Linked DNA regions of Elephas maximus indicus. The protein of the gene in region 2 binds, or shares a complex with, the protein of the main gene of each other region. Links are inferred from orthologs where the notes say so. Each region holds a gene or a part of one and is shown on either strand. Other genes may lie near its edges.

What was found.
Region 1: DRC1 (region 2) and GAS8 share a complex: the UniProt entries of both Homo sapiens proteins name them as parts of the nexin-dynein regulatory complex. The link is inferred for Elephas maximus indicus from reciprocal best matches to the Homo sapiens genes DRC1 and DRC4.
Region 3: DRC1 (region 2) and FBXL13 share a complex: the UniProt entries of both Homo sapiens proteins name them as parts of the nexin-dynein regulatory complex. The link is inferred for Elephas maximus indicus from reciprocal best matches to the Homo sapiens genes DRC1 and FBXL13.
Region 4: DRC1 (region 2) and EFCAB2 share a complex: the UniProt entries of both Homo sapiens proteins name them as parts of the nexin-dynein regulatory complex. The link is inferred for Elephas maximus indicus from reciprocal best matches to the Homo sapiens genes DRC1 and DRC8.

The regions. Positions count from the first base shown.
Region 1 is NC_064839.1:55,106,546-55,113,916, reverse strand, and holds the start of GAS8 (dynein regulatory complex subunit 4), read right to left. Parts: upstream 3,389-7,371; 5' UTR 3,293-3,388; coding exon 3,290-3,292; intron 1,568-3,289; coding exon 1,481-1,567; intron 1-1,480. UniProt on the Homo sapiens protein: Component of the nexin-dynein regulatory complex (N-DRC), a key regulator of ciliary/flagellar motility which maintains the alignment and integrity of the distal axoneme and regulates microtubule sliding in motile axonemes.
Region 2 is NC_064830.1:44,543,333-44,551,382, forward strand, and holds the start of DRC1 (dynein regulatory complex protein 1), read left to right. Parts: upstream 1-4,745; 5' UTR 4,746-4,770; coding exon 4,771-4,913; intron 4,914-8,050. UniProt on the Homo sapiens protein: Component of the nexin-dynein regulatory complex (N-DRC) a key regulator of ciliary/flagellar motility which maintains the alignment and integrity of the distal axoneme and regulates microtubule sliding in motile axonemes.
Region 3 is NC_064826.1:46,424,285-46,431,577, reverse strand, and holds the start of FBXL13 (dynein regulatory complex subunit 6), read right to left. Parts: upstream 3,005-7,293; 5' UTR 2,607-3,004; coding exon 2,532-2,606; intron 1-2,531. Other genes in the region: ARMC10 (armadillo repeat-containing protein 10), read left to right, coding at 3,164-3,302. UniProt on the Homo sapiens protein: Substrate-recognition component of the SCF (SKP1-CUL1-F-box protein)-type E3 ubiquitin ligase complex.
Region 4 is NC_064842.1:19,166,682-19,175,058, reverse strand, and holds the start of EFCAB2 (dynein regulatory complex protein 8), read left to right. Parts: upstream 1-5,185; 5' UTR 5,186-5,894; coding exon 5,895-5,925; intron 5,926-8,377. UniProt on the Homo sapiens protein: Component of the nexin-dynein regulatory complex (N-DRC), a key regulator of ciliary/flagellar motility which maintains the alignment and integrity of the distal axoneme and regulates microtubule sliding in motile axonemes.

The DNA.
Region 1 (7,371 bases), on a different chromosome or scaffold from region 2:
TGGCATCCGGCACTGCCTCCTGGTAAAATGGTAGGTGTCTTCCTGCCGTGTACCTCCGGGGCCACTCAGTCTATACCAGGTTCCCACCTGTTCTGATTGGCTTACATGGCATTAGGTTTTGCCATCGCTCAGTATTTCAATTTCTCATAAATATCCAGATTCTTCTCTTGAAAAAATCAGAGGTCAGAGGCCCTGGAGTCCATGCCACAGAGTGGCTGTCTAGTGAGCAAGCAGCAGTTGCCCCACAGTGGGGCTCTAGCCCCAGGTCACCCCCAGATTGCTGCCTGGATCCTGGGGGCTTCTGGGGCTTCCAAGAGTACAAGGTGCAGCTCTGCCAGGGGAGCTGCCCTGCCCTGTCTAAAGTCTAGAGAGTAAACAGGACAGGAAGCCATTTGCCACTGGGTAATGAGACATTTTCAGTCCATTCTTCACCCAGCACCCAGATGGCCTTCCCAGAACACAGGCCTGACCCACCACCCCCTGCTTAAATGTCACCTAAAATAAAGCCATTCTTCATCATAACTCCAAGGCCTCCACAGCCCTGCCCCCTTAACAACAAGGCCTCTCTCAGTCTCCTGTGTATTCATGTTTTGTCTTAAAACTATAAAAAGAAAGCAGCTTACTAACATTACCATCAAGCCAATACAGCCTCTCTCGGTTCCTGCGTCAGATGCCCCTGGCCCTGCTAGACCGAGGCAGATACCAGGTGGCATCTCCTTGGCTTTCAAGGTTTTGCCACTTGTGTGGTTATCAGGAACCTGTAATAATGCAATTATCAAGTTCCCAACACCAACAGAATGGACAAGTGATGTAAAATAATTCCTACAAAAAAACTGTAGTTTAGAAGACAGATCCTCTCCCCCCCAAAATGTACGCACAAGCAACAGCAAAGGCAGCCAGTCGGCTCCTTGTCTTTGGAGCTTGTCAAAACAATGATGACCTAATTAATCAGATGGAGGTGATGTGATTTTCAGTAAATCTGTTCTTTTAAAGACATCCTATTTGCTATAGTGTTTAACAGTGAACAAGACAATTTTTTCTTTTTTATTTGCTATAGTGTTTAACAGTGAACAAGACAAAGGAGGATGTTGTGTGTATCTATGCTGTAGTAACAGCTCTGTAAAAGCCAGGTGCATCAAAGAATAGGCCTGAAGGAGACAGAGAATTAAAAATAGAAATAGCTGTTAGATCAGAAATACTACTCCTTCCAAAACCCACCACCCTATAAAAATGTTCTCTTCTGTGGCTCTGTTGTATTTGAGAAATTTGGAGCTGACTGGAAGGATGGAAACAAGGAGCATGATCTGGTATGGAGAGAAGTACAAGGGGGTGAGGGTGGATGCGGGGAGGGCAGGATGGAAAGAAGATGGCCAGGAGGACAGAATGAACAGAGGGGAGGGTGGAGGCAGCTGCAGGCGGGGACAGCGGTCAAGTAGGGGTTGGCTGGCCTGGGCTGAGGTGGCTGGGCTGGCCCTCTCACCTGCTCCTTGTTCATGTCTTCCGGAGCGAGCCCGTCGACAATCGGAGTGCCTTTGGCTTTGCCTTTCTTTCCTTTCTTTTTAGGCGCCTGTTAGTTAAAGAAAGGAGCTGTGGTGACACAGTGGTTAAACGCTCAGCTGCTACCTGAAAGGTCGGTGGTTGGAATCCACCAGCTGCTCCAAGGGAGAAAGATGTGGAAATTTGCTTCCGTAAAAATTATAGCCGTGGAAACCCTATGGGGCAGTTTTACTCTGTCCTATAGAGTCGCTATGAGTGGGAAGAGACTCAGAGACAGTAGGTGTGGTTTTGGTTTTGTGGTTAAACAAGGGACGAAGGAGTAAATAAACCATCTAAGGGCTCCCACTTGTTGGCCAGCTCCAAGACCCTCCCGGGGGCCTTTCTGGGAGAAAGAAGCACCTCAATGGAATCTCTGTCCCAACAGGAGGGCCCTGAAGTTCCATCCTTAATGCCACACACCCCACTGGGTCCTTCGGAGAAGCACTAGGGGAGGACTTCCTTTTCACGGGATATTTTTTCCAGCTGAAAGGAGGGGCAACCCCTCCTGAACTCACCCACTCCTTGGCATAAGACAAAGACCTCTTTGCCTTTGGACAAAATTTATCTTTGGTTGCAAAATTTACTTGGAGTCAAAATGGAAGACCCCCAAAAGCACAGTCAAACACTACCACATTTGTTACAAGCTTGGTGACCACCATGGAAAAACCTCCAAAAAACCAATTCATGGGTGTAGGAAGCAGGGCTTCTGCAGCAAGGATCACAGAATGACATCAATTTGAGGCTTCCTTTCTTCCAAATACAAAACTCCTTCAAAGAACCCAGGTCAAGAGAGCTTCTGAACTGCTGTGTAAACAGGTCACCAGACCCAACTGCTCATGGTGAGAGAGAACCTCTGACCCTACTCATTCTCCATATCTGACTTTACAAATCTTTATCCTTAGCCCTTTGCTACTCCCAACTCCCTGAAGCCCATGCTTCCATGTGTGGGTATCTATGTAACTTTCTTAGAATTGCAAAAAAATGTCAAGCGGAAATTTTAGAAACACAGAGAAGCAAAAAAAAAAAAAAAAAATCGCCCGTAGTTCCACAAGCTAATGTTAATAAACCAAAAAACCCAGGGCCGTCGAGTCGATTCCGACTCACAGCGACCCTATAGGATAGAGTAGAACTGCCCCGTAGAGTTTCCAAGGAGCGCCTGGCGGATTCGAACTGCCGACCAATGATAATAAGCGGAAGTATTTTGCTGATGGTCTCTTCACAATCTACTCTCCAACGATCCAACCATGGAAGCCCCAGGCTCCACCTTCCCACCACCACCCCTTTTACTGCTCTTTCTAACCCTCTCTCTGAAAGATCTATTCCAAGAAGTCGACCCCATTTGAGTCTACCCCTTGGTGAGCCCCTGGCTCTCCCTCCCGGGACCGGCGGTCCTAGGATACTGCTGACCAGCCTGTCCTTCCTGGGGTCCCTGGGTGGCCCCCTGGGGGGGCCCCCGTGAGATGAGACTCTAGGCCCCAAGCCCTTCACTCCAGGCAGGAAATCCCCTCAGGCTCAGGGTCTCTCGTACGGGTACTTTGCACACCGGGCCCTCGGGCTCCAGGGCTGAGCAGCCCTGTGAGCACAGCATCCTGGACAGCTCATGGCTCTAGGTTGGGCGCAAGGTCTAAGACCCCCGAGCTCACACCCCCGGTCCGGGATCCCAGCGAGCGCAGTTCCAGCGCCCCAGAGCTCAGATCCCGGCTTGGGGTCCCAGTGCGCCCAGGCCCCCGGTCCGCACCCCGGCCCCCCTCACCATGGCTCTGCCGGACCGGCCTCGGCGCGGCCCCCACACTAACTCTCAGGGCCGGTGAAGATGCGCCTGTCTCCCAGCAACGCTCGGCGCTCCCGCGCCAAGTCTCAGGGATCCTCGCGAGATTTCGCCTGAGGCGGCGGGCCTGGCAACGACGGGAGAGCGTCCCTAGCAACGCCCGCGGGGAGGGAGTTCCAAGTCGCGGAAGCCGGGGCAGGCCGGGCCACAGCCCCGCGTCACCGATCGCCTGATCTCCCCAACAGCCCTAAACGCGTGTTGTCGCCGAACTGGGACGAGGAATTCCAGGCCCCCGACTCCGGTCTGCAGCGGGTTGGGGATCCTGACCCAGGCCCGGGAGGTCTCTGCTTAGTTGTCCCCTTCCTGGGCTACCAACTAAAATCTGAAAACTAAGGAAACAGCTTGTTACCTAACAGGAAATATAATTTACGTCTTCTGTTTACTGCCTGTCTCCTCTACTGTAACTTAAGCTCTTCGCTACTGTAATTTAAGCTCCATGACGGGAGGGGGCTCTGTTGCCTTCACTCTGTGCTCCAGGCTCTTAATAAAGATGTGTTGGATGAAGGAGTGAGTGAGTGAACGAATGAGCCTACACGGACAAGGTTCTGGATCATTGTCCAAATCAAATTGAAATTTGGGTTTGAGACTCTGCCCCCTGGGACTCACCCCACTCTGGCCACCTTTGAAGGGTCCTCCCGCTTACTACCCAGGTGAAGGTTGAAAATAGTTGGATTTCCACAAATCCTGGGGGGGGGGGCGGTGGGAAATATATATATATAGGAAACCCTGATGGCGTAGTGGTTAAGTGCTACAGCTGTTAATCAAGAGCTTGGCAGTTCAAATCCGCCAGGCGCTCCTTGGAAACTCTACGGGGGCAGTTCTACTCTGTCCTATAGGGTTGCTATGAGTCGGAATCGACTCGACGGTAGTGGGTGGTATATATATACATACATATATATATATATATACATACATACATATATATATATATACATACATACATATATATATATATATATATAAAAGCCACGGTGTTTTCAATCACCTCATATGCATTCGAAAGCTGAGGAAGACTGAAGAAGAATTGATGCCTTTGAATTGTGGTGTTTGCAAAGCATATTGAACATACCATGAACTGTCAAAAGGACAAACAAATCTGTCCTGGAAGAACTACAACCAGAAAGCTCCTTAGAAGCAAGGATGGTGAGACTATGTCTCACATACTTTGGACATGTTATCAGGAGGAACCAGTCCCTGGGGAAGGACACCATGCTTGATAAAGCAGAGCATCAGTGATAAAGAGGAAGACACTCAACAAGATGGACTGACACAGTGGCTGCAACAATGGGCTCAACCGTAACAATTGTGAGGGTGGTGAAAGCCCAGGCAGTGTTTCATTCTGTTGTATATGAGGTCGTTATGAGTCGGAACCGACTCAACAGTACCTAACAACATAGATAAAGGAAAAATGTTCAGCTTAGCTCCAAAGCTTTGAAATCAACAGTCTACTTGACACCTGCCCCTATTGCTAAGTGACAGCATGTCCACCCTTAACAGAAATGCACTGCTGTGCTGGAGACCTCAGCTGTGGCCTCTCTGTTCTCATGGAGAAGAAATCCCTCAGAGGCTTCCAGATAGGCACTGCTGAAAAGAGAGAGCTCAGTAAAACAAACGCTAGTCATTTTATGATTTCCAAAGTGAATTTCCAATTCCCCACCCCCCCCCCGCCCCACCATGCTATTACCTAGACATGAGGATCCAAGTCACCTGAAAGACTGAGGATTTGTCATAAGCAAGCGCCCATCTTTACACATCATTTGTCCTTTTTTCTCTGCTCTCAACTTTAGCAACTTCTTGAATAGTGGTTTTGCGATGGGTCTTGTTTTCCTATAGAGAAGATTCTGGAATCTTCTACCCCTGGAGAGTTGTGTAGAGGGCAGAATGTGGGTAATGACAGAGGACTCAGGTGGGCTCAGGTCTTCCCATCCAGCTCAGAAAGGAATGATGCCTCCGTAGCCGGGTCTGCTCAGTCCTCGGGAACCCTGCAGCAGCCTAGCTTCTGAGGCCACTGTGATAAGCTTGAGGGGCTTCCTGTTTGCCCACCAGACCCTTATTGTTCTTGGAGAGGAGCATCCAGTTGGAAGGACGGAGCCATGATTTATTTATAGCCTATCCCTAAGCCTTTGTGATGTCTGACCAGTCACCAGCCCCATGCTGGACTCCACTGGCAAGATGGGCCTCCTCCTTCAGAGGCAGGGGCCTCCCAGAGGGAGTCTGGCAGGCGAGACAGTGCAGCTGGGTAGCACAGTGGGACAATTATTATTGTTTAACACTTTGTCTAAGATCCAATATGCTAGGTACATCACGTTGATTGGCCTTAGAAGTCTAGCTGTGAGTACTGAATTAAATAAATGCATTAACAATAATTCCTTCCACAGAAGGGCAAGAAGAGGAGGGTTAGCTCAGGATAGCCAAGACAGGGTTTTCATCTGTCAGAAACCGACTGAGCAGTATGTTCTCTCTTCATATAAGTATGGATTGCAGAGATGAATCGTGTGGGTGCCCAGCTGCCATGCTCCTGGCTCCCAACAGGGACCTCAGTTTTTCATATTGGATTCGAGTTCAGATTTTTAGAAAAGAGCTCTTTCTTCATATTGTATGGCTTAAAATATTTTGTTCAGTATCAAGCTGTGTAGCTCAGAAACCCAGATAAATGGCATCTGCATTTCCTGCAAAAACCCCAGAGCAAACATTAATCCACAAACTGACTGGCCATTTCGCCCAAAAAGTTTGACCCACTTGGTCAAACTGCCTGAATGTGTGTTTGAAAATGTTCTCGATGAAAAATTAAAAGTAAATGCTGGCCTCCAGAGTCAGATTGTCTGCCACTTACCATCTGGAGGGGCCTCTGGCAAGACCCCTCTGTATCAGTTTATTCACCTCTCAGGTGGGAGTACTTATTAAGTAATAGTTACAGTTACTAGGACTGCACAAGTTGCCCCAAAATGTAATGACTTAGTACAATGGATTGCTTGTGAATTTGCAATTTGGTCAGGACTCAGTGGGAACGGCTTACCTTGGCTCTGCTCATCACCCATAGAGGCGGTTCAAAGGCAGGGTCTGGAATCAACTTTCTGCCTGTTGCTGCGACTTTAGCTAGGCTGAAGCCAGAACACACACAGGAGGTCTCCACGTGTGCGCTGGGGCTTCCTCACAACATGGTGGCTGGGTTCTGCAGTGAGCGCTCTAAGAGAGAGCCAGTAGAAAATGAATCCTTTTTATTACCCAGCCTTGGAAATTACATGATAATATCACTCTGCCACATTCTGTTGATTGGAGCAGTCACAAGCCCGTCCAAGTTCAAGCAGAAGGAATATAGATGGGGGAGTCTTGAGGGGGTGGAAGGTTCTGGAAGACCAGAAATACTGCTGTAGCCATTTTGGGAAAATACCATCTGCCATCCCAACTGACTGGGAGTGGCCTGTGCTCCCACACTGTCCCTACTTCCCAGAGCAGCCCTTGCCTTGCTTCTTTCCCCATTGCCCATCCTGTAGTTCAGCGCTGTCTTTTTGTGAATCCAGGTTCTCAGCCTCACGAAGCATCAAACTGCAGGTGTTCCTGTGGGTAATGAGGTCATTTTAGAGGGTTGCAAGCAGCAGTTTCATTTTAGTTTTGTTTGTGTGTGTGTGAACTAAAAAATGGAAGCTATTTACTGCCTCATTGATGTTGAGACCCTAAGGCTAGGGATCAAGGACCTTCAGTGTCCCACATTCTTGGCTGAAGACATCCATCACAGCAGGTTTGGCCCCTCCTGGGGTGAATTTCCAGCTATCTGGGACTGTTGAAGTCTGCCTGTGGAGGCAAGACAAATACTCACCTCCCTCCTCTGTGAGCCTTTTCCATTTCCGGCTGGAGACAAGCTCTTCCTCCTCGATGTTCTTCTTGGGTTTAGTTTGTTGTTGTAGAAGTGCAGAGCATGTGTTCTGGGCTCAGAATCCAGCTTGATTTTGGAGCGTCTGGCTGTGCTGCCTCAGCAAGTACAGCTTCTGCTCCTGGAAAACTGGCTT
Region 2 (8,050 bases):
TCAATAAATATTTGTCAAATTAATCAAAGAACAAAATGGATAGGTAGAAAGAATTGACAGTGTTTCACATCTTAATTTTTTAGAGCAGAGTGTCACAACCTTTGGTATCTAAAATGGAATTAAGTTGGATAAAATAGGTAGTGACTCAAAGTTCTTAGTATTTTTTAAATTTTCGGGAAATAATGTGGTAGAGAAACATGCATTTCAAATTCAGTTTCATTAGTTTCACTTAAGTTTCTCTCCTGATAAATCAAGCAAAATTAAATTTCAATATTTTTATTAAAAATATTTGTCTTCAATAAGGTAAAGATGAGCCCAAGAGACAGAAAGGGCCCCATAAACCAGAGACTACATCAGCCTGAGACCAGAAGAACTAGATGGTGCCCAACTACAACCGATGACTTCCCTGACAGGAAACACAAAAGAGAATCCCTGATGGAGCAGGAGAACAGTGGGTTGCAGACCTCAAATTCTAGTAAAAAGACCAGGCTTAATGGTCTGACTGTGACTGGAGGGACCCCAGAGGTCATAGCCCCTGGACCCTCTTTAGCCCAAGACTGGAACCATTCCCAAAGCCAACTCTTCAGACAGGGATTGGACTGGAGTATAAGACAGAACATGATACTGGTGAGGAGTGAGCTTCTTGGCTCAAGTAGACACATGAGACTACCTGGGCAGCTCCTGCCTGGAAGGGAGATGAGAAGCCAGAGGGGGACAGGAGCTGGTTGAATGGACACGAATACAGGGTAGAGAGGGGTGTGCTGTCTCATTAGCGGGAGAGCAGCTAGGAGTACATAAAAAAAAAAGGTGTATATAAGTTTTTATATGAGGGACTGACTAGATTTGTAAACTTTCATTTAAAGCATACACACAAAAATTTGTTTTCACATGTCTTTTTATCTTTATGTTCTGTATATATGCATAAAGAGATGTAAGCATTCCAATAGGTGGAATGGACCCTCCCCGCCACCCACCCAAATTTTGGTTTGGATGTCAAGCCTGGATGATGCCACACACATACCTCAAGAGGGTATAAAAAGGTTTATTACTTACATAATTGAGGCTGTCTGGAGAATGGCTTGAGAGAGCCAGGAGAGAAGACTGGCCTGAGGCTTTAATTGTGGTTAGAGCGTGAGGCCAAGATGAGAGTTCCTGCACAGTTTGAATCTCCTGATGACACCAAAGGAGACAGTACCCAGGCTTGCTTAGGGCAGAAGGAAATAGAGAGGGCTGATGCTTACAAGCTGTCAGCAGTCAGACATCAAAAAATGGAGTTAAAAGATGTTTGGAATGGTGAAGTTACTACTTTTTTGTTTTTAAATAATATTTTATTGAGTTTTGGGTGAAAGTTTACCCAGCAAGTTAGGTTCCCATTTGACAGTTTTCACACAAATTGGTGACATTAGTTACATTATCACATGGTATAATTGAGTTCTGTTTGTTCCATTTCCGGTACTCTAGTTTCCCCGCCCCCTTATCATCCCATCTTTGCTATTGAGTAATTCTTGACCTTTTGGTCTCATACTGATGGTTTTTAAGTAGAGCACCATTCTTAGGGGTGATATCCTTTATTTTGTATGCCACTTCATCTTGGGATAGACTCGGTTCTAGGTTTAAAGAGTATCTTGGGGCGATAGTCTCAGGGAGTCCTCCGTTCTCTACCATCCCAGTTTGTTTTGCTTTTTTTTTAAATAAGAACTTGAGTTCTGCTGCATATTTTTCTCCCATTCTATCCAAGATCATCTATTATGACTCTAGTCAGAGTGGTCAGTGGTGGTAGCTGGGCACCATCTAGTTCTTCTGGTCTCAGGGTAGATGAGGTGTACACTTTTTCTTCCCTGAGCTTTTGGTTACCTTCTTACTGTTCTGTTCCTGGCGAGTAGAGACCGGTAGTAAACTTCAGGATAGATGAGGTGTACACTTGCTTCTTCTGTGAGCTTTTGGTTACTGTCTTACTGTTTGGCTTCTGGTGAGTAGAGACCTGTAGTTGTGGGACCTGTTAATTTTTGAGTGGATGATTTGGGGTGATTTTGTGTTTTCCTTTTTTATTCTTTCCAACTTTGCTTAAGGATTCCCTGGGTGGTGCAAACAGTTAACACACTTGGCAGCTCAATAAAAGGTTGAAGGTTCAAAAGGTGCTTGAGAAGAAAGACCTGGCAATCTATGGAAAATTCAGCCATTGAAAACCCTGTGGAGCACAGTTCTACTCTGATATACCTGAGGTCACCATGGGTTGGAATCAGATCAATGGCAAGTGGTATCTGGTATACTTTGCTTAAATGCTGAATAATGAATGTGTTATTTTTTACCTCAACAATAAACTTATTTATTTTTTAAACTAAATATAGTATCTTTTTTAACAACAAAAAAGACAGTGCACGAAATCTCTAGGGTCACTGATACATGAACCTTCATAATAAGAAAGAATACAGTACACTGGAGGCATCTGGGGATGACTTTAGGACCAAGTATCTCTTGGATGGTTCTTCATGAGTGTTTGTGGTGCCGTCTCTCTTCTGTAACAGCTGATTCCTCCTGACTGTCTGATGGTATTCTACCCCCAGCTGCAGGCATGCACACATGGATATACTTGTTTCTCATAGATGGTGGAAACATGAGTCAGCACTTGGAAGAGTTTGTGGTCAGAACTACACCTTGCCCCTCTGATGTGTGGCCCATAGGAAAGTTTAATGCTCAAGGTTACAACCCAATGAGATAAATTTGGCAAAGGGCCCTGAAGCATCCTCCACATCCCTAACTAGGATTCAGGTAGCTCTTGGACTGTTTGGGCTTCTCCAAGGCTTTGGCCCTCCTAAATTTCTCCACCACTTAGAGACTTGGAAATGTCTTTTTTAAAAAAAATACTGCATTTGCCTCTGGGTAGGTCTTATTCACAAAGGGCTTTTGTTTTCCTGGTCTTCTGAGGTTTCACTTCACCTGTGAGTTAAGAAGGCAGACGATACCATTTAACAGTTGAGAAATGGCTCTCAAGAAGTTGTGGCTTGCCCATATTTGCGGGCAAGAGGTAGGACTAGTACCCACATTTTCTCACCCATTCCCTAGTTTCTCATAGGCTAATGGAACCAAGACCCTGTCAAATGTCCAGTTTGCTTTTTAAAGAAGTTTTTAAACTCTCAAAAAGAACTAGTTGAGAATGAGACCAAAAAAAAAAAAAAAAAGCCAAGGAAATAGTGCCTTTTCAAGGGAGTGTGTCTCTGTGAAGGTGAGCCCTGGTGGCCCAGCGGTTAAGCACTTGGCTGCTAAATGAAAGGGCAGCAGTTTGAACCCACCAGCCGTTCCGCAGGAGAGAGATGTAGCAATCTGCCTTGTAAAGATTACAGCCTCGGAAACTCTACAGGGCAGTTCTACTCTGAGTCAGAATTGACTCAATGGCTACAACTTTTTGGTGCTTCTTTGAGAATTTAATTGTGCTCTGTATTCTTAACTTTTTTCCCTCTTTCTCATTCCCCCATACTATTTTTCTCTGTTCCCACCTTCCCTCTTGAAGTATGTGGTTGCAGATGGGGATGGTGGGATTACCCCGGGTTTCAGCTTACTGAAAATGACAACAATCCCTTGCTGGATGGAAATGTCTCCGTTCCTTCCGCCCTCCCTCCATGCCCTCCTCCCTTGTTTCCTTCTTTGCTTTATTCTAGAGCAGGTAGGGTCCTGAATGCACAAAATGCACAAAAATGAATGCATAATGAGTGAATGGATGCAATACATTTTAGTTGGAACATTCCAAAGAGACAGTAGGCTCTGCACGCCCGGTGAGGAAAGGACAATGCCCGTATCCTTAGCTCTAGCACAGGGCTTGGCATATAGGAGGCGCTCAATTATATTTGATGAATATAATTCTTAGAAATATTCATTTGATGAATAAATGAGTGATGAATTTGTTACTGCAAATCGCGGATTCGAGCCACCTGCCGCAAAGCCAGTACTGAGACAGGAGGAGGTAAGCTGTAAGAAGAGGGCTTTATTTGAATACCGGTATCCAAGAGACAGAGGGGTTAAGTTCCTCCCAAATTCTGTCTAAAGGGCTAACTAGAGAGTTTTATAGGGAGAAGGTCAGGGTTTAGGGATTTCCCGGAATGTTAACTCTTCTTTGAGATGGACATAATGATAAAGTGACCTATTATTGAAGTCTTGAAAGTCTCTTCACGCCATCCTGGTTTCAGTCACAAGATGGATCTGAGTTTTGTTCAGCTACATTGGTCCTGTGTGTTTTGGCCCTGGGAGAGGAACCTAGTTTAATCAACAACAAAAAACTGATTACCTTATTTTTCTTTAAAGGAACAATCAGGAGACCGATTCTAGAGCAAATAATTACATTTCAAAGACTGGAGATTAATTACAGTCTATACAGCTATACTAAACTAGAAAATATATTCTCTACTTCAATACTAAAGCACTAAAGAAAATACATTTTCTCTACTTCAAATTAATCATCAGGGTCAGTAAGTGATGAGCCAGAACGTGTACCAGCTCTTCAGTCTTCCAGTCTCGTGGTGACCTGCTAGTTCACAGCCTCTGTTGACACGACTGGGCCTTCGTGGGGGTGCAAGACAGTACTCACAGGCTCATTGTAGGAGAGAAGGCTACACACAGCCCAAAGCTGGGATGCAGAATTCTGAGCTAGCGGTGGGCGGAGCCTGAAGAACTGCGCGCGGAACCACGCCAGCTGCCGGTCTGGCAACCGCTTTTCCCAGGCAACGGCTTGTTGCTAGCAACCTGGTGGAGCTGCCTGCAGGCCGGGAGGCTGCAGCCATGAATCCGCCAGGGCCCCTAGAGAAAGAGGACGAACACTTATCAACCCCGATTCTCGGGCCCTCGGTGCACTCTGATAACCCTCAGGAGCGGATCCAGGCCCGGCGCCTCCGCATTGCTGCGCGCCTGGAAGCCCGGAGGCGGTGAGCCAGGTCGGGAGGGTCTGCAGCAGAGACCGCGGTGCCGGTGGGCGGAGGGCTGCCGCTTCCAGGGCGTGGGAGCCCGCGGCGAGGGATCGGCGCGCCCTCAGTGTGAACGAGGCTCGCTCTTTTGCTTTTAATTCCAGTAAAATATATATGACAAAAATTGCCACTTATAATCATTTTTAGTTGTACAGTTCAGTGCCACTAGTTATATTAACAATGTTGGGCAACCATCACCACTATTTATTTCCAAAAAAAAAAAAAAATTTGTTTTTAGTCACTCTGAAACTCTACACGCATTGAGCAGTAACTCCTCCTTTTCCCCTCCCCTCAGCCCCGCTAGCCTCTGATCTTTCTGGCTCTCTGAATTTGCTTATTCTAGATACTTTATGTAAGTGAAATCGTACAATATTTGTCCTTTTGTGTCTGGCTTATTTCACGTAACATAATGTTTTCAAAGTTCATCTGTGTAGTTGCAGGTATCAGAACTTCATTTTTCTTTATGGCTGAAGAGTCCGTCGTATGTATGTACCACATTTTATCCAGTCATCTGCTGATGGACATTTGGATTGCGGGGTTGTTTCTTGATAATAGAAAACGTTTCTTCCAGAAGATTCAAGCAAGATATGGGTTATTAAAAACATCCAAGACACTGTTATAAAGACAAAAATAATAATCCATTTAGCACTTTTATTGAGAGCTGCTGTGCCAGGCAGTGTGGACAGCACACTGAGGATTCTGGTCATTTGTGACCTGCCCTGAAGGAGCCTGCGGCGAATTAGGGGTCTTTTTCCCTTTCCTTCTCCCCTCCGCACCTTTCCTTTCTTCCACAAGCGTTTATTTAGTATCGAGTACATTCTAGTCACCATGTTAGCCACTACATTGGGATTCAGAAAGTGAAGTCACAGTCCCCACGCTCACCGTCCGCTTGGAGGCAAAATAGACCAGCAAAGGTCACAAGCACCAATTCGTAGGTGCTGTAATGGAGGTATGGAGCCCTGGTGGCACTATGGTTAAGCGCTCAGCTGCTGTTAACCTAAAGGTTGGTGGTTAGAACCCATCCAGCGTCTCTGTGGAAGAAAGACCTGGCAATCTGCTTCCATAAAGATTATAGCCATGATTGGCAACCAGTGTCACAAAACAATATATATATTAATTGTTTATGAGAAGCTAGTTTGCTCTGTAAACCTTCATCTAAAGTACAATTAAAAAAAAAAGATTCTAGCCATGAAAAAACCTTTGCGCAGTATTGTCACTGTCACTGGGGAAGGGGGAGGGGGCGCAGACTGCACCAGTGACACTGTTAGAGGGGGTGACACCAAAATGACTCTTTAAAAGTTTTGTGAAGTGTTTCAGCAGAAATTTATTATTTTTCCTAAAAATATCACTGTAGATACTTATAACAACAAAAATTTTTTTGTAAGCCCAGGTTACCTATATCCATATAGCTACGAGGCTAAAACTCTACAGTAATTTACTTTTGGAACCTTCCAACGTGCTCCGGTCAGAGCAGTCGTTATTAGCCAATTACAGTGATGCCTCGAATCATGTGGTTTCATCTACAAGTGCTACAAGCATGCACTGTTGTTTTTGTTGCTGCCGGTGTTTTTATAGTCACTGATATTGTCACTTTTTTGATGTTTTACCTACAATATTGTGGTAATTAGCACTAGGGGGGTGACACCATGAGTCTCCACACTGGGTAACACAATTCTAGTGACGCCATGGCCTAAAGGGCAGTTCTACTCTGTCACACAGGATCACTATGAGTTGGAATTGACTCAACAGGCACCCAGCAACAAAGACATATAGAGGTACGGAGTCCTTGGGTGGTGCGAACGGCTAATGCACTTGGCTGCTGACCCAAAGGTTGGCAGTTTGAGTCCATCCAGGGTTGCCTTGGAAGAAAGGCCTGGCAATCAGCCATTGAAAACGCTATGGAACAAAGTTCTACTCTGACACACATGCGGTCACCATGAGTCAGAACTGACTTGACGGCAACTGAAAAAAATAAAGGTATAGAAATGGTGATATAGGAGCACAAATTACCCGTTGCCATCAACTTGATTCTTACTCATGGCAGTCCCAAGTGGATTAAAAGCCAAAGACCAAACCCTTTGCCATCGAGTCTATTCCAACTCATAGCAAATTTATAGGACAGAGTAGAACTGTCCCATAGGGTTTCCAAGTCTGTAATCTTTATGGAAGCAGACTGCCACAACTTTCTCCAATGTAGCAGCTGGTGGATTTGAACCGGTGACCTTTTGGTTAGCAGCCAAGCACTTTAACCACTGCACCACCAGAGCTCCTGCATGTGGATTAAAACCAAAAACCAAACCTATTGCCCTTGAGTCGATTCCAACTCTTAGTGACTGCATAGGATAGAGTAGAACTGCCCCGTGTGGTTTCCAAGGCTATAATCTTTACAGGAGCAGACTGCTACGCTTTCTCCCGAGGAGTGTTTGGTGGGTTCTAACTGCCGACCTTTCTGTTGGCAGCCAAGCTACACCACTAGGGCTTCTGCATGTGGAGTAGTAAAAGAAAACAAAAAAACCCTAAGCCCGTTGCCATCGAGTTGATTCTGACTCACGGCGACCCTATAGGACAGGGGAGAATTGCCCCATAAAAAGCCCCATAGGGTTTAAAAAAAAAAGAGGCACATAAATTCAGCCAGTGGTGGATGTGGTCATGGAAAGCTATGAGAGATCATCATTCAACAAATGTTTACTACGGGCCCTGGTGGCAAAGTGGCTAAAGCTCTTGGCTGCTAACTGAAAGGTTGGCATTTGGAACCCACGAGTTGCCTTGTGAAATAAAGATGTGCAATCTGCTTGCATAAAGGTTTACAGCCTTGGAAACCTGATGGGGCAGTTCTACTCTGTCCTACAGGGTTGCTGTGAGTTGAAACTGACTGGGTGGCAGTAGGTTTGGTTTTTGCTTCATTGTGTGCTAACACCACTCATCTGTCAGTTTGTCATACTGTGGAGGCTTTTGTGTTGTGATACTGGAAGCTATGCCACTGGTATTTCAAATACCTGCAGGGTTAACCATGGTGGACAGTTTTCAGCAGAGCTTCCAGACTAAGACATACTAGAAAGAAAGGCCTGGCAACCTACTTCCAAAAACTAGCCAACAAA
Region 3 (7,293 bases), on a different chromosome or scaffold from region 2:
AGTACTCCCACTTCTCGGTACCAAATTCTGTCTAGTGCTGCTATAATAGAAATACCACAAATGGGTGGATTTAACAAAGAGAAATTTATTTTCTCAGTTTAGGAGGCTAGAAGTCTGAATTCAGAGCACCAGCTGTAGGGGATGGCTTTCTCTGTTGGTTCTTGGGGGAGGTCCTTATTCCTCAGCTCCTTGATAATCTTCATGTGGCATGGCATCTATCCTCTCCCATCTCTGCTTGCTTGCTTGCTTGTTAAATCTTTTTATCTCAAAAGAGATTGACTCAAAACACATCCTACACTAATCCTGCCTCAGTAACATAACAAAGACAACCCATTCCCAAATGGGATTATAACCACAGGCATAAATAGAGGTTAGAATTTACAACACATATTTTGGGGAGACACAATTCAATTCATAACAATTTATGAGGGACTTCTCTAATGGCAGAGCAATGTGGTAAGCTGGTGGGGAAATAATGTGCTCACTCAGAAGACGTACTAGGGACTGCCTCTTTGCAGCTTTGTATGTATGGCACCTGGAGAAGAGGTGAGGAGAGGCTATCACTTCCCTGAGGTGCCCTGACACTCAATTCAAGTCCATATCTGCTCCCTGCTCCATGATCACACCCTGAACTGGATCATCATTCAGAACAGCTCTATCCTAAATCTTAAATTCAAACATTCTACTTGCTCAAATCAACCTCCTACTTTTCCAGACCCCTTACTCAATTACTCTTTCTACTTCTCTTCACCCATTTTCTAGGAACCTCTACTTTCTATCCATGTATCAGTATAATGTTCCTCTTGTTCTCATTTCCCACCAAGCCCTTGGAGTCCTTGGCCCATCATTTCAGGCACTCTGAAGAGCTTTAGCTCCCTGACCCATTGCCCTTCCATTCTAAATGTCTGGCAAACTCCAATCCTGGATGAAATCAACTCTGTAATTTCTGTACCTATGTCTGGCTTACTAAGTGCTTAAGAAAATCATACAACTGGGAATATGGGTACCGTGCTTTCCACGTATTTTCCCAAATATAACTGCGTGGTGTTAAAACATGAATAAAACTCATAATGAAAAATTAAAACAATACAGCCATACATAGAGTGAAAAGAATTCTCCTTCATCCCCTCCCAAAAACCATTTCCAAAAGCAGCTACTGTTAACAGCTTGACATACGTTCTATACATATATTATTTCCATGCATGTATGATTGTCTTAAATATACACACATACACATACATATAAACAGTATACATATATACATACACATATATACACATATTTGAATATGGTACATAGCTAGAATTGTAGTAGACACTTGGTTGGACAACTTGCCTTTTTTTTAACGTAATATTTCTTGGTGATCTTTTCTTCTCAGTAGATACAAATATACTGCCTTCTGTAAAATATCGTATCCTCTTACTTATATTTAAGTCATTTATTACTTTCACTATGTAACAATAAAGAATATCCTTGTACATGCCACTCCTTGAACACATCTCCAAGTATTTCTCTGAAGTAGATTAGATCATTAGAAGTGGAAATGCTTGGTCAAAGGGTATGCATTTAACAATTTAACAAATACTTCTAAATTATCATCCAAAAAGGAGGGGAGCTGTACCAAACTGCCTTCTCAACTGTACAGGAGAGTTACTGCCCCTTGCAGGGTTCTCAACACTGCCCTGCTCTTGTTTCCATCCCTAGACATCTCTCACCCTCGTCCCCCACAGTAACTCAACCCTCCTATTGCAACCCCCATTCCCACACAAACACACACATTCTTAGCAAATGATCTCACCAACTATTTGTAGGGAAAATAGAAGCCACTGGAGTACTTTCCCAGCTTCCTACCAAAACTCACCCATTCACCCCCATCCTGTCCTTCTTCTGTCCTGTTATGGGGGGGCGGGGAGGAGGTGAGGGGAGTCCTTCCCTCTGTCTGAAGTTAATCCCAGTGTGGGGTCCTTCCTTTCACAGAGAGCTGGCTATATTCTGTCTAAAGGTCTCAGCTTCCACAGCCTCCTCAGCTAATGTCAATCTGTCTTCACTCACCTCTCCATTGAAATGGCTCTCCCTAGGTTCACCTTGGGCCGGATCCACGGAACTCCTTCAGGTCCTTATCTTAGGTAACACTGTTACTCGCTCCTTAAAACACTCTCTTCTTCATAGAAATGCCACTCTCCTGATTTTTCTTTCCCTCTCTCTGGCACTTTTCTTAATATCTCCTGCAGGTACCTCTAGTTCAAATCTTAAAAGTTGGGGTTTGGGGTTTCCGTCTTGGGCCCTGTGCTCACTCCGCTCTTTTCTCCCTGGAAGATGTCACCCGCTCCTCCCTTCAGTCATCATCGCCCCTGTCTTCTCTTCTTGGATCTGTATCTTCAGCTCAGACCACTGACTTGTCCAAAGAGGACCTCATCCCCTCCTATACCGCTCCTCCTCTCCACCCCACGCCCGAGTAGGAAGTCTCCCCCGACTCTTCTCTCCTCTCACTGCTCACAATCGATGTGTCCGCCGCCACTTGGCTCCAGTACCTCGCAAACCTGGGGAATGTAGTTCTCCTTGAAGTAGCTCTTCAGCCAGGGCTTGGCAGTGCGTAGCGAGGCCATGGCCAGAGGCCAGACTCCGAAGCCGCGCTCCGAGCCAGCTCTCCGCGCCCCAGCAGCAGACGGCGCGCGCGGACTAGGGGCTGGCGCGTCCCGACGTTGCCCTGGCAACCGCGGGAGTGGGGAGGAGCGCGGCGGAGTCTCCCGCCCCCATCTCTGGGTCCGCGGGGAGGGAGGCGGGCCTGGAACCTAGACTGAACGCTCCTGGGGAGAACGAGGGGGACGCCCGGGGCAGCGGCGGCGGCTGTGTGCGTAGTCGCCCCTCAGGGCGCGCAGCCCGTGCAACTCCTCGCGGAGTCCAGTCCCCCACCTGCCCACCGGCACCGGCCGCGCGCAGGGCCGTGGGACCGAGCAGGAGGCTTTACTATTTCGGCAGGGCCGTTTCCGGGAGGCGGAGCTCAGACCCCCATTTCCTTTCTCTTCGACTCGGTCGCGCTCCGGCGGAGGCGGCGGCGCCCGCGGGCTGTGCAGACCCCAGCGCCCAGCGCCCGGCGCCCAGCCCACGCCGCAGCCCCCGCGCCAGCCTCGCGAGCCTCTCGCGCCCCCGCCCCGGCGGCAGCATGGGCGGCGCCCGGGACGTGGGCTGGGTGGCGGCGGGCCTGGTCCTCGGGGCCGGCGCCTGCTACTGCATTTACCGGCTGACGCGGGGCCAGCGGCGAGTCGGCCGCGGGCCCCGGCTGCGCCCCTCGCCGTCCGCAGGTGAGGCCGCGGGCGTCTGGCGGTGGTCGGGGGCCGGGGAGGGCGCCAAAGACTCCGCAGGCGCTGGGGGCTTTCCCGCCCTCGCAGTAATCGCGCCAGAGGCGGGAGGGAGGCTGCATGAGAGCGCAAGGCCTGGAAGCCCAGGTGGAGAGAGCGGATTGTTCATTTGATTTGGGTAGGCGCGTTGGATCCTGAGCCTCCTCCCTGCCGCCAATTCTTTGTTCAAAATCACGGGATGAAAGGTTTCCCAAACTTAACTGTTTTTTTGAGTTCAGAGTCCAGCGGAGGATGGGTTTCTCAAACGCACGTTGATTGCCTCGCACTTTAAATCTTGCACTGGGCCTTTGTGGATGGGGCATTTCGTGCCTCGAGCCATAAGATGAAATGCTGTGTGCAGTTCCCTGGAAAAAGGGACGTCACCTGGGCCTGTGCTCGTCCCGGCCCTGTGCGGGGAGACACTTTTAAGTCACCGTGGTCCAGCATCTTGCCTGCAACTTTAAAAGCCAGAAAATCAGTTTTTGTAAGATTGAGCGGAACCCTGTTTTGTAGGTGCAAATGAGGCATGTAAAGGATTCGGGAGTAAAAGCAGCATCCAGGGCCCCTGATCACAAGAGTTAATAGTGGTAATCCGCTGGTTTTTTACATTTCGCTAACAGATTTTTAATTTGGATACCTTAGGACATCATGTCATTAATTGTTGCCCATAATCTACATTTTTCCCTTTTCCTCTTTTTTTTTTTTTTGGTGATTGCTCTTTAAGCAATGCACCCATTTTTAATAATAGGAGTAATGCTTGTTTATGTTTTTAAAAAATTAAAATAGTCTTACAAACAGGGTAGAAAATAAAATTGTTGGTAATCCTAGCTCCCAAAGGTGGCCACCTCTAACAACTGGGTGTATATATATAAAGAGAAGGAAAGGGATAGATATGAGATCATACAGCCCCTGCTGTTGTGTATCCTTTACCTCCCAGTGTATGGTGGGCACATGCACAGTCTGACTTCTGGTCATACAGTTTCATTTGGAAGAAGTCATGTTGAAACTGTATAACACAATAATAGTGTTACAGAACTCGCTTCCGTTTTTCAAATTAACAGCAACTGGGAAGAGTAGATAGGAAACTTAGGGGTCAGTGAGTTTATGTTAATGGGGGAGGAATAATTCCAAAAAGAGCGTGGAAGTGTTTGCACAACTGGAAGGATGTAATAAGTGTCACTGAGTTGTACATGTAGAAACTTAAATTGGTACATGTTCTGCTGTATATATTCTGAACAACAGCAACAAAAAATAATTTGTTAAAATCTGTTATAACTTCACTTTGAATAAATATATAGTTGTTATTTTGTCCGCGGACTGGTATTGGCCATTTTGAATGAGACAATTATTTAGTCTACTGAGAATGACAAACTGAAGAAGAATCGCTTCACATTCATCATCAAAAAGAATATTTCAGGATCTATCCTGAAATACAGCGCTGTCAGTGATAGGATAATATCCATTGTCTACGAGGAAGACCAGATAATACAACTGTTACTCACACTTATGCACTAACTGCTCATGCGAAAGATGAGGAAATTGAAGATTTTTACTGGCTTCTGCAGTCTGAAATTGATCAAATGCACTATCAAGAGGCATTGATAATTACTGGTGATTGGAAAGCAAAAGTTGGAAAAGGACCTGTAGTTGTAAAACATGGCCTTGATGATAAAAAATTGACACCAGAGAACACATGACAGAATTTTGCAACACCAGTGACTTATTCATTGCAAATACGTATTTTGGCAACATAAACTGCGGCCATACATGTGGACCTCTCTAGGTGGAATACACAGGAATCAAATCAGCTATACCTGTGAAAAGAGACGATGGAAAAGCTCAATATCATCAGTCATAACAAGGCCAGGGGCTGACCTCAGAACAGACCATCAGTTGCTCATAAGCAAGTTCAGGCTGAAGCTGAAGAAAATCAAAACAAGTCCACAAAACCAGAATACTGCCTTGAGTATATCCCACCTAAATTTGAGACCATCTCAATAAATGTGATGCATTGAACCCTAATGACTGAAAACCAGACAAGTTGTGGAGTGACATCAAGGACATCATATATGAAGAAAGCAAAAAGTCATTAAAAAGACAGGAAAGAAAGAAAAGACCAAAATTGGATGTCAGAAGAGACTGAAAATTGCTCAGGAACATAGAGTAGCTAAAGCTAATGAAAGAAATGAATAAATAAGAGATCTGAACAGAAGGTTTCAAAGGACAGCTTGAAAAGAGGCAGTATTTATAGTGGAATGTACAAAGAAAGCCAAAGGGAAGAACAGGTTTGGAATTTCTGAAGGTGAAAGAATTGAAGAAAAATCCAAGCCCCGAGTGGCGATTTTGAAGGACTTTGTGGACAAGATATTGAACAATGCAGGAAGCATCAAAAGAAGATGGAAGGCATACACAGAGTCACTGTACTAAAGAATTGGTCAACGTTAAGCAATTTCGGGAGGTAGTATATGATCAAGAACCTATGGTATAGAAGGAAAAAGTCCAAGCTGCACTGAAGGCATTGGTGAAAAACAGGACTCCAGGAATTGACAGAATACCCAATTGAGATGTTTCAACAAACAGATGCAGCACTAGAGGTGCACACACATCGGTACCAAGAGATTTGGAAGACAGCTGCCTGGCCAACTGACTGGAAGAGATCCATATTTGTGCCCATTCCAAAGAAAGGTGATTTCAATGGAATGCAGGAATTAATATCACACGAAAGTAAAATTTTGCTGAAGATAATTCAAAATGGTTACAGCAGTACATTGACAGGGAACTGCCAGAAGTTCAGGTCGGATTCATACTTATTCAATCTGTATCCTGAGCAAATTATCCGAGAAGCTGAACTATATGAAGAAGAACATGGAGCATGAGGATTGGTGGAAGGCTTATTAACAACCTGTGATATGCAGGTGGCACAATCTTGCTTGCTGAAAGCAAAGAAGACTTGAAGCACTCGCTGATGAAGATCAAAGATTACAGCCTTTAGCATGGATTACATCTCAACATAAAACAAAAGTCCTTACAACTGGACCAATAAGCAACATCATGATAAACAGGGAAAATATTGAAGTTGTCAAGGATTCCATTTTACTTGGATCCACAATCAGTGCTCATGGAAGCAGCAGTCAAGAAATTAAAGGATGTGTTGCACTGGGCAGATCTGCTGCAAAAGACCTTTTTAAAGTGTTGAAAAGCAAAGGTGTCACCTTGAAGACTAAGGTGCGCCTATATCCAAGACATGATATTTTCAGTCGCCTCATATGCACGTGAAAGTTAGTGAATAAGGAAGACTAAAGAAGAATTGGTATCTTAGAATTAGTGGTGTTGGCGAAGAATGTTGAATGTACCATGATTACCAGAAGAATGAACAAGTCTCTTTTGGAAGTGGAAACCCTGGTGGTGTAGTGGTTAAGTGCTTTGGCTGCTAATCAAAAGGTCCACAGTTCAAATCTACCAGGCACTCCTTGGAAACTCTACGGGGCAGTTCTGCTCTGTCCTGTGGGGCCACTATGAGTCAGAATTGACTTGACAGCAACAGGTTTTGTTTTGATTTTTTTGTTTGTTTATCTTGAAGTACAGCCAGAGTGCTCCTTGGAAGCAAGGATGGTGAGACTTTGTCTCATGTACTTTGGATATGTAATCAGGAGGGACCAGTCCCTGGAGAAAGACTTCATGCTTGGTAAGGTAAAGGGTCAGCAAAAAAGAGGAAGATGCTCAAAAAGATGGATCGACACAGTGCCTGCAACAATGGGCTCAAACATAGCAGTGATTGTGAGGATGGCACAGCACCAGGCAGTGTTTTGTTCTGTTAATACATAGGGTCACTATGAGTTGGAAGTGACTTGATGGCACCTAATAACACTTGTCCAACCATAACATGAACATGTGATTAAGTCTAAGTATATGTGAAAATGAATGTAATAAAACAGTGCCTTCTTTAAAAAAAGTA
Region 4 (8,377 bases), on a different chromosome or scaffold from region 2:
GCTAAATAATAGGCTGGCCTATAAAAGGAATAACAATCATGAGGAAAGTGCTCCACAAAACAATCAACCATATGAAATCAAACGGGCGACATTCGCCCAAAAGCAAAGATGAGAAGGCAGGGAGGGGCAGGGAAACAGGACAAAGAGAAATGGGGAACCCAGGGTGGAATTGGTGAGAGTGCTCACATCTTGTGGGGATTGCAACCACTGTCATGGAATAATCTGTGCATGAATTATTGAATGGAAAACTAATTTGCTGTGTAAACTTTCACCTAAAGGACAAGAACATGTTTAAAAAATAAATGGGCAAAGGCCTTGAACAAACATTTCACCAAAGAACATGTACGAATGGCCAATAAGCACATGAAAGGATGCTCAATGTCACATTAGTCATTGTTGTTAGGTGTTGTTAAGTCAGTTCTGACTCATAGTGATCCTCTATGTAGAACAGAATGAAACACTGCCCTGTCCTGTGGCATCCTCACCATCTTCACTATGCTTGAGCCCATCGTTGTAGCCACTGTGTCAATCCATCTCTTTGAGGGTCTTCTTCTCTTTTGCTGACCCTCTACTTTACCAAGTATGCTATCCTTCTTCAGGTACTGGTCCCTCCTGATAAGACGTCCAAAGTATGTCATTAGGGAAATGTTAGTCAAAATCATAATGAGATACCACTTCACATCCACTAGGATGGATATTATCAGAAAACAAGTATTGACATGGATGTGGAGAAATTGGAACCCTCATCCATTGCTGGTGAGAATGTAAAATGATGCAGCCACTGTAGAAAACAATTCGAGAGCTTCCCAACAAGTTAAACATGGAATTAATCATACGATCCATCAATTCTACTCCTCAGTATATGCCCAAAAGACTTAAAAGCAGGGCCTCCAACAGATACTTGTACATTCATTGTAGCACTATTCACAATAGCCAAAAGGTGGAAACAACCCAAGAGTAAACAGATGAATGAATAAACGAAATGTGAGATAGATATGTATGATATATATATATGATATATATATATATATATGATATATATATATATATATATGGAAGCCTGGTGGTGCAGTGGTTAAGAGCTTGGCTGCTAACCAAAAGACTGGCAGTTTGAATCTACCAGCCACTCCTTGGAAATCCTATAGGACAGTTCTACTCTGTTCTATAAGGTAGCTATGGGTCAGAATCGACTTGATAGCAATAGTTTGGTTTACATACATACATATATATATATATATTCAGCCATAAAGAGACATGAAGTTCTGATACATGCTACCATATGGAAGAACCTTGAAAATATTACGCTGAGTGAAACGTCACACACAAAAGGACAAATATTGTATGATCCCACTTACATGAAATATCAAGAATAGGTAAATGTATAAAGACCAAAGTTTACTAGCGGTTACCAGGGGTGGGTGGGAGGGGGAAAAGGGAATTATTAAGGGGCACTGATTTCTGTTAACAGTGATGAAAAACATTTAGAAAACAGTGCTGATGGCTGCACAATGTGGTGAATGTAATTACTGTCACTGAATTACAAAGTAAAAATGGTTGACATAACAAATGTTTTGTTATATATATTTTATCACAATTAAAAATAATTAAAAAGAAAATAAAGACGCAGCAGTACAGCACAGTGGCTCTGGAATCAGGTCTATATTCCTAACCAGCTCCCTTACTTACATAGCTATGTGACCTTACGTAGACCATTTATGTGGATTTATTTTTTTTCATCTGTAAATTAGGGATACTAGTATCAGCCTCAGCAGGATTAAATGAGATAATGTATATAAGGTACTTACATAGCTTAATAAGAAAGAGCTACTTTTATTATTGTAATGCTGTAAGGAAACCATACCCTTATTCTGTATAGTCAGATGTTTTCCTTTTGAGATCACAATGGGTGGTGTCTTCCTCGAAGGGGTGGACATTTTTGATGTTAATGATCTACAAAAGGGATGTACGTTGTGTTAGGAAACTAGAATTGGACAGATCAGAGAGGGAACTTCCTTCTTCCCATTTTTCCCGGGTCTAGAGCTCAAGGAATCTATGCTTAAGGGCATACTTACTTGCTAGGTTTAAAGAAACCAGGAAAGGGCCATAAACTGAAGATGAGTAAACTAGATCATGTAAACTAGATCACATGGCATGTAGCTGGCAGATTACAGTAGTTACCAGTGTAACCCTGGAGTCAAACCATCTCCAGTTGTGTTAGCTGAAGCATTGGAAAAGCAAAGCTTTCCCAGGGGAAGGTGAATCTCGGGACAGAAGCTGGAGTTGACCTCTAAGAGCTCTTTCCTACCGGGAGCTGGGGGGTTATTTCACTTAGAGATTTCCTTCCAAGTTCCTTAACTTTTAAAGATTTCAGTTACATCTGTGGAGTCTCATGAAAACGCTAAGATAGGGAGTTTGGGCATTATTATTTCTATTTTTCTGAATTAACTAAGTTTTAAAGAGATTGCATGACTTGTCTGGGATCATGAGGTCAATACATGGCAATGCCCAAGGATATGCCAGTGTTTGTTCTTTCAATCATTCCTAGTCCAAAGAGATTTGTATTATCCCCATACTATGAAAGTAAACATCGTGTAAACATGTTTTGGACTATCATTTTGCATACCTGTTGCCATCAAGTCGATTCCAACTTGTAACGACCCTATAATACAGAGTAGAACTGCCCCATAGGGTTTCCAGGGAGTGGCTGGTGGATTCAAACCACCGACCTTTTGGTTAGCAGCAGAGCTCTTAACCACTGCGCCACCAGGGCTCAAATTTTGCATTAGTTACATCAATTTACCCTTCCCACTTCACCCAAATCTTAGATAACTGAGTCAATTGTATCCAGAATAAATATTTTCTGGGTCCCTCGTGGGCACGGTACCGAAGCTTATCCGAATATATTTAATTCACTATAAATTCAAGAATGCAAAAAGATATAATCTGTGCAGATCCACCTGGACCCACAGAATAATCAATCAAGTAAATATCATCCATCTAAAATTATGCTCTTGTTTCTCTGATTTCGCCTTCAGTTGCATAATACCCACGAGTGGAACCAAAAATATTTTTCTGATTCTAAATTTCTGAAAATTGCCTTGAAAATGAAAAAATGCTTTTGCAGCATACAGTATTACAAAGTTACTCAAGCTATAGCTCAGAAACAAAATACATTCAAAGGAAAAAAAAAAAAAACCACGGTTGTAGATCGCCACTGTCCAAAACAAGGTAATAATATTTAAAAAAGGTTAAAAGTGTAATATAGTCAGGGGTCAGGTTTCCACAACCAAAGAAAGGAGGAAAGTCAAGTGTCAGCAAAATGCAAATAATTACTAATTGCACTGAGGGCCTTTAGCTTATTTGGATAATCATTTTCACCTTGAGGCAAGTTTTCCAGAATAATTACACAATCTTATGTCTAATCGGCAGTTGAAAACTATTAAGCACCTAACGTGTGCCCCAAATTAGGCTAGGTACTAAGAGTTTATATAAGTGTATAAGACTAGGCTCCTGACTTCAAACCAAATGGGAGGGGGTTAAATAACACACTTTTTTTTTTTTCACTCATCCAAACTTAAGAGTGTTCTCTTAAATGTGCTTTAGGAGTTCAGAAGAGATTAACATGGTTTGAAATGATTTAAGTAATAAAAATCTTTGCTAAACCGTTAAATTTAGTCAAAAATATAAAAATATTGGGGGGATAAAGTTTGCACAGAATCTGTTAAATTCTTAGTTTTTATTTATAAATGTTTATATAAGAATTCCATTTTATTAACATGAACTGCTGATACTTTCACTGGTACAAGACTATAATGCAAAAGGAAAACCTGTCTTACTTGGAGTAACTTTGCTGAATCTGAGTCTTTTAAAAAAAAGTCACTGAGAAGACTCACTCCTGTCTTAATTTTAACAATATATATTTCAGATACAAAAATTAAAAAATCGTTCTAAGCACTAGGTATATGGATGAATACAGCAGGTCCCATCTTCAAGAGCTTACAGTTTGGTATGAGAAAACAAATAACTAAACAAGGTCATTGCAAATTAATGTGAGAAGTTCTATAATAAAAGTACAGGGGCCACAGAGGAAGAGGGAAACTTCAAGGAGGAGGTGACCTTCAAGGAGGTCATCCTGCGGACAGGCGAAAAAAAACGAAAAACCAAACCCGTTGCTGTCCAGTAGATTCTGACGCATAAAAAAAATAGGTAGGGACAAAGAATGTGTCTGGGAGAGTGAATGCTGAATCAGGGAGAGAAAAGGGAAAGACTTCCAAAAAACGGAAAACTGCAAAAGCGTATGATAAGGCACAGTGAGTGAGTAGTAAATCTGAGACCAAATTTGGGGTTTCCTACATTTACTTCTAGGTTTTCATTATCTATATGGACATAGTCGTCTTTACAAACAAGTCACTAGCCCATAATGGCTCTGAAATTGAAATATGAATGCTATGTTTAATTTTCTATATTTGGGTTGTTAATAATTCACTGTACACAACTATACTCATGTCATATAAACATCTTCCAATGTGAGAAAGTTTGTGATGACACAATCGTTTATATTGAATTTCACACAGAATGTTAATCACAGCACCACATGAACTACCTTCTATCGAAAAAATTAATTCAGTAAGGAAGAATATAGTCAGTTTGCTTTAGGGTTTAGTCAAAGATTACTGAAACAGAATTACTCAGAGGAGCATAAAAATCTGTGTAAATACATTAAGTATGAATACCGTGCAATTTGAAGGCCTCTTAAAATTTACATACATGCTTTTACACACATCACGTCATTTAAATTAATACAGCACACGCACGTATCATTTCAGGTTTAAGTTTATCTAATCATTTACGCTTGGATTTGTTATTCAAAGATCATTAAAAAAAAATTCTAGTCTAGTGAATTTCTCCTTAGAATAAAACATTCAAAAACTTGAATACCACGCTACAGCTGCAAAGTTTCAGAAAAGGATTTACAACTTTTCTATAGTAACTTTAACTGGAAGTCATGCCAAATTTCACAACTAGGAACATTTAAATGTATGTAATACCGAGCACAACATGGGCATGTTTTTGTTGCTATGAGAACCTTCTATTTTGTGTCAGAAATGCAGCCTTGGCGACGCAGTGTTTGCGCCTCTCCTACCCATGTTTTTCTACAGCTATTCCTCTCCTGTAGTAATAATAGTCTAATGACTCCGGTTTCCTCTTGCACCCGGCCCAGTTTTCCGTTTTAGCTCCAGTTCTCACAGGCTGTGCGGTCGCCTTTTCTGGGAGGGCGCAGAGGACAGGCCGGGAGCAAACGCCGAGGGCAGGAGCGGGGTTGGGCCGGCCGTTCTGCAGCAGCCTGGGCGGCTCCCCTGCGCTCGGCCGCCGTGAATGGGAAGGGGAGGAGGCTCGCTTGCAGTTGGCAATCACCCCCGCGGGAGCCGGGCTTTTCACTCAGCAGCTCTACGGCTGCTTTTAAAATCTGCAGTAAAAATTCGAGCAACGCCACGTCGTCCAAACAGGAGAGGAGGGGGGAGAGTAGTATGTCTGCGATGTCCCCTGATGGAGCAGAATTATTTAATACTAAAGGGCTCGGAACCTTAGTAAAACTCCCCGAGGCCACAGGGCTCAGGCCGGGGCACTGAAGGACCTGAAATGGCCGGGAAGCGTGGCGAGCGGGTCTCGGGCTGCAGAAGCGGGCTTTGGTCGCCCGAACGCTGGAGCTGCACGTGGCGGGAAAGGGGGAAGGGCGCGCGTTCGCAGCACTCCCCCTCCCGGGCCTCTCTCCCCAGGGTCTCCCGCCCCGGGGATTCGGAGCGGCCCATCCTCCCAGCGGGGCTGGAGGGGGAAAGGGCGCCGCGACCTAGGTTAACGATAGGCATCTCCCAGGCGACGGGCTCCGCACCAAGATGGCGGAGGATAGAGCATGGGAAAGCACAGGTAAGAGCCTCTGGGGAAGCGGCTGAGCTTGCTGTTCACCGCGACCCGGGGCTGCGCAGGGAAGCTCTTGGGGGGGCTCGTTCGCCCTCCATCCTGAGCCCCTACTCGCAGGGAGAGGGTAAACTGAGGGGAGGCCCGCCGCCTCCAGTTCCGAGGCTTCCCCGGGCCGACGCCTCGGCCCCGCCTCCCCCTTTCTTCCCGCTCCCCACCCCTCCCGTCTCCTCCTCCTCCCGCCCTCCCTTCCCCACCCCTCCCCAGGAGGGCCGAGTCTCGGCTCCGGCGCGGGCTGCGGTGAGGCGCCGGCAGGGAAGGTAATAATGGCGTCCTTGTGCCCGGTCACCGGGACGCCGCCTCCAAGCCCGGGCCAGGGGTTCCTGGTGCTGCGGCCGCTACGGCGGCAGCTGCCCAGGCTGTGGATACCGCTGGGCGGCCCGGGTGAGGACAGGTTCTGGCCGTCAGAATCTAGCTGGATCCTCTTCGGCCGCGTGGAAACCCCGCCCGAGCCCTGCCTGATGGTGTTTGCGGCCACCATTTTGCCTCCCTAGCGAGGACGTGGGAGGAGAGGTCACAGCAGTGCTTCGGCGTCTCGTCGGAAATGCATGCCCTGCGGCTAGTTTTGCGCCTCCCTCTTTCCCTCACCCCCGGCCTGTTGTCTTAAGAAACAAAAACGTAAAACAATTTTAATAAAGACTAAGTTGCAAAATCGAGTGGCCACGCTTTAAGAAGCCTGTGCTCCGGCCGGGCGGAGAGGCTCGGTCACTGTAGGTCATAGGGGCAGGATTGATGTGTTTTGTGTTTGGGGAAGCGGAAAACCGATTATCCACGTTTATTTGCAAGACTTTTAAATTGTTTTCATTGAGTAATGTGATTTAACACCCAAACGTTGATCACTACCTTCTCTTAGTTACCCGTTTTATTAAATTGTTTAGTAATTGACAAAGTCACCGGAAAAACAATATTTAAAAAACCATAAAGGAGTAGAGGTAAACACTTTGTCCGTGAAAAAAAATACTCCACCTTTGTTTCCTTTCTTGAGCGCTCAAAACACTATCAACATACCATTTTTCTCAGCATGAAACAAAGTGAATTCAGGTTAATAACTAATATTTACAAACGAAAAAACAGCCCTGAGATGTTTTTAGTCGTTTGTTGTGGCGATCACAGAAAAATAGCGGAGAAAAGAAACTGCCAAAGATCCGTCTTTTGATAATAGTAATACTACTTGATCTTTATGACGGTAAACCTTAAGAGCCAGAATTATTTAATAAATGCTTTTTATTTTAAAATGTCCTTAGAGTTGTATGGTACTGTTTAAAAAGCGTCAGGGTACATTGTAAGAGAAGTGATCACATATTTTTTAGATAATTTTAGGTAATTTGAAAGCCTTCCTAGAAAGAATGATATAGTTAAAAATTTCTTAATTGTGTTAAGCATATTTTGTAGAAAGAAAAATCTGATGAATACAATTAGAGTTAAAAGATTTTATTGGAAGAGTGAAGGAAACCAAAGACTTAAGGAAGAAATTAGTCCACAGGACTAATGGCTCACACAACCACAGACTCTTCTAGCTTGAGACTAGAACTAGGTGGTGGTACCACTACTACCGTTCTCACCAGGAATGAATCAGAAGGTCCCAGTTAGAATGGGAGAAAAATGTAGAATAAAACTCAAATTCATAAAAAAACAAACAAAAAAACCCAACAGACTTACTGGACTGATAGAGACCGGAGGAACCCCTGAGACTATAGCCCTAAGGTACCTTTTGATCTGAAACTGAAGCCACTCCTGCAGGTCACCTTTCAGCCAAATAATACATTGGCCTATAAAATAAAAACACTCATTGGAAATGTGCTCCTTTAAATAGTCAACTATATAAGACCAAATGGTTAACACTTACCCAAAAGCAAAGATGAGAATGCAAGGAGGGGCAGGGAGACTGGATGGATGGAAACAGGGCAGGCTGGGTAGAAATGGTGGAGTGTTGACATTGTGAGGGCTGTACGTGATGGACTCACGAGTCTGTTCCATTGGTTTATTTTTATTTATTAGATTCTTTTTAAAAGTAGAAATAGTGGTGCTCAGAGGTCAATTTATATCAATAAATGCACAAATACAAAAAGAAGAAAGGGCCAAAATCAAAGAAATGTCGCTACAGCTTGAACAAATAGCAACAAAAGAAACCCTCAGGCACTAGAAGAAAGCAAATAATAAAAATTAGAGCAGAATTAAATGAATTAGAGAACAGAAAAAAGAGTTAACAAGAACAAAAGCTGGGTCTTTGAAAAAATTAACAAAATTGATAAACCATTGGCCAGACTGACAAAAACAGGAAAGGAAGCAAATAACCTGAATAAGAAATGAGATGGGCGATATTACAACAGACCCAACTGGAATTAAAAGAATTGTGTCAGATTACTATGAAAAATTGTACTCTAACAAATTCAGAAACCTA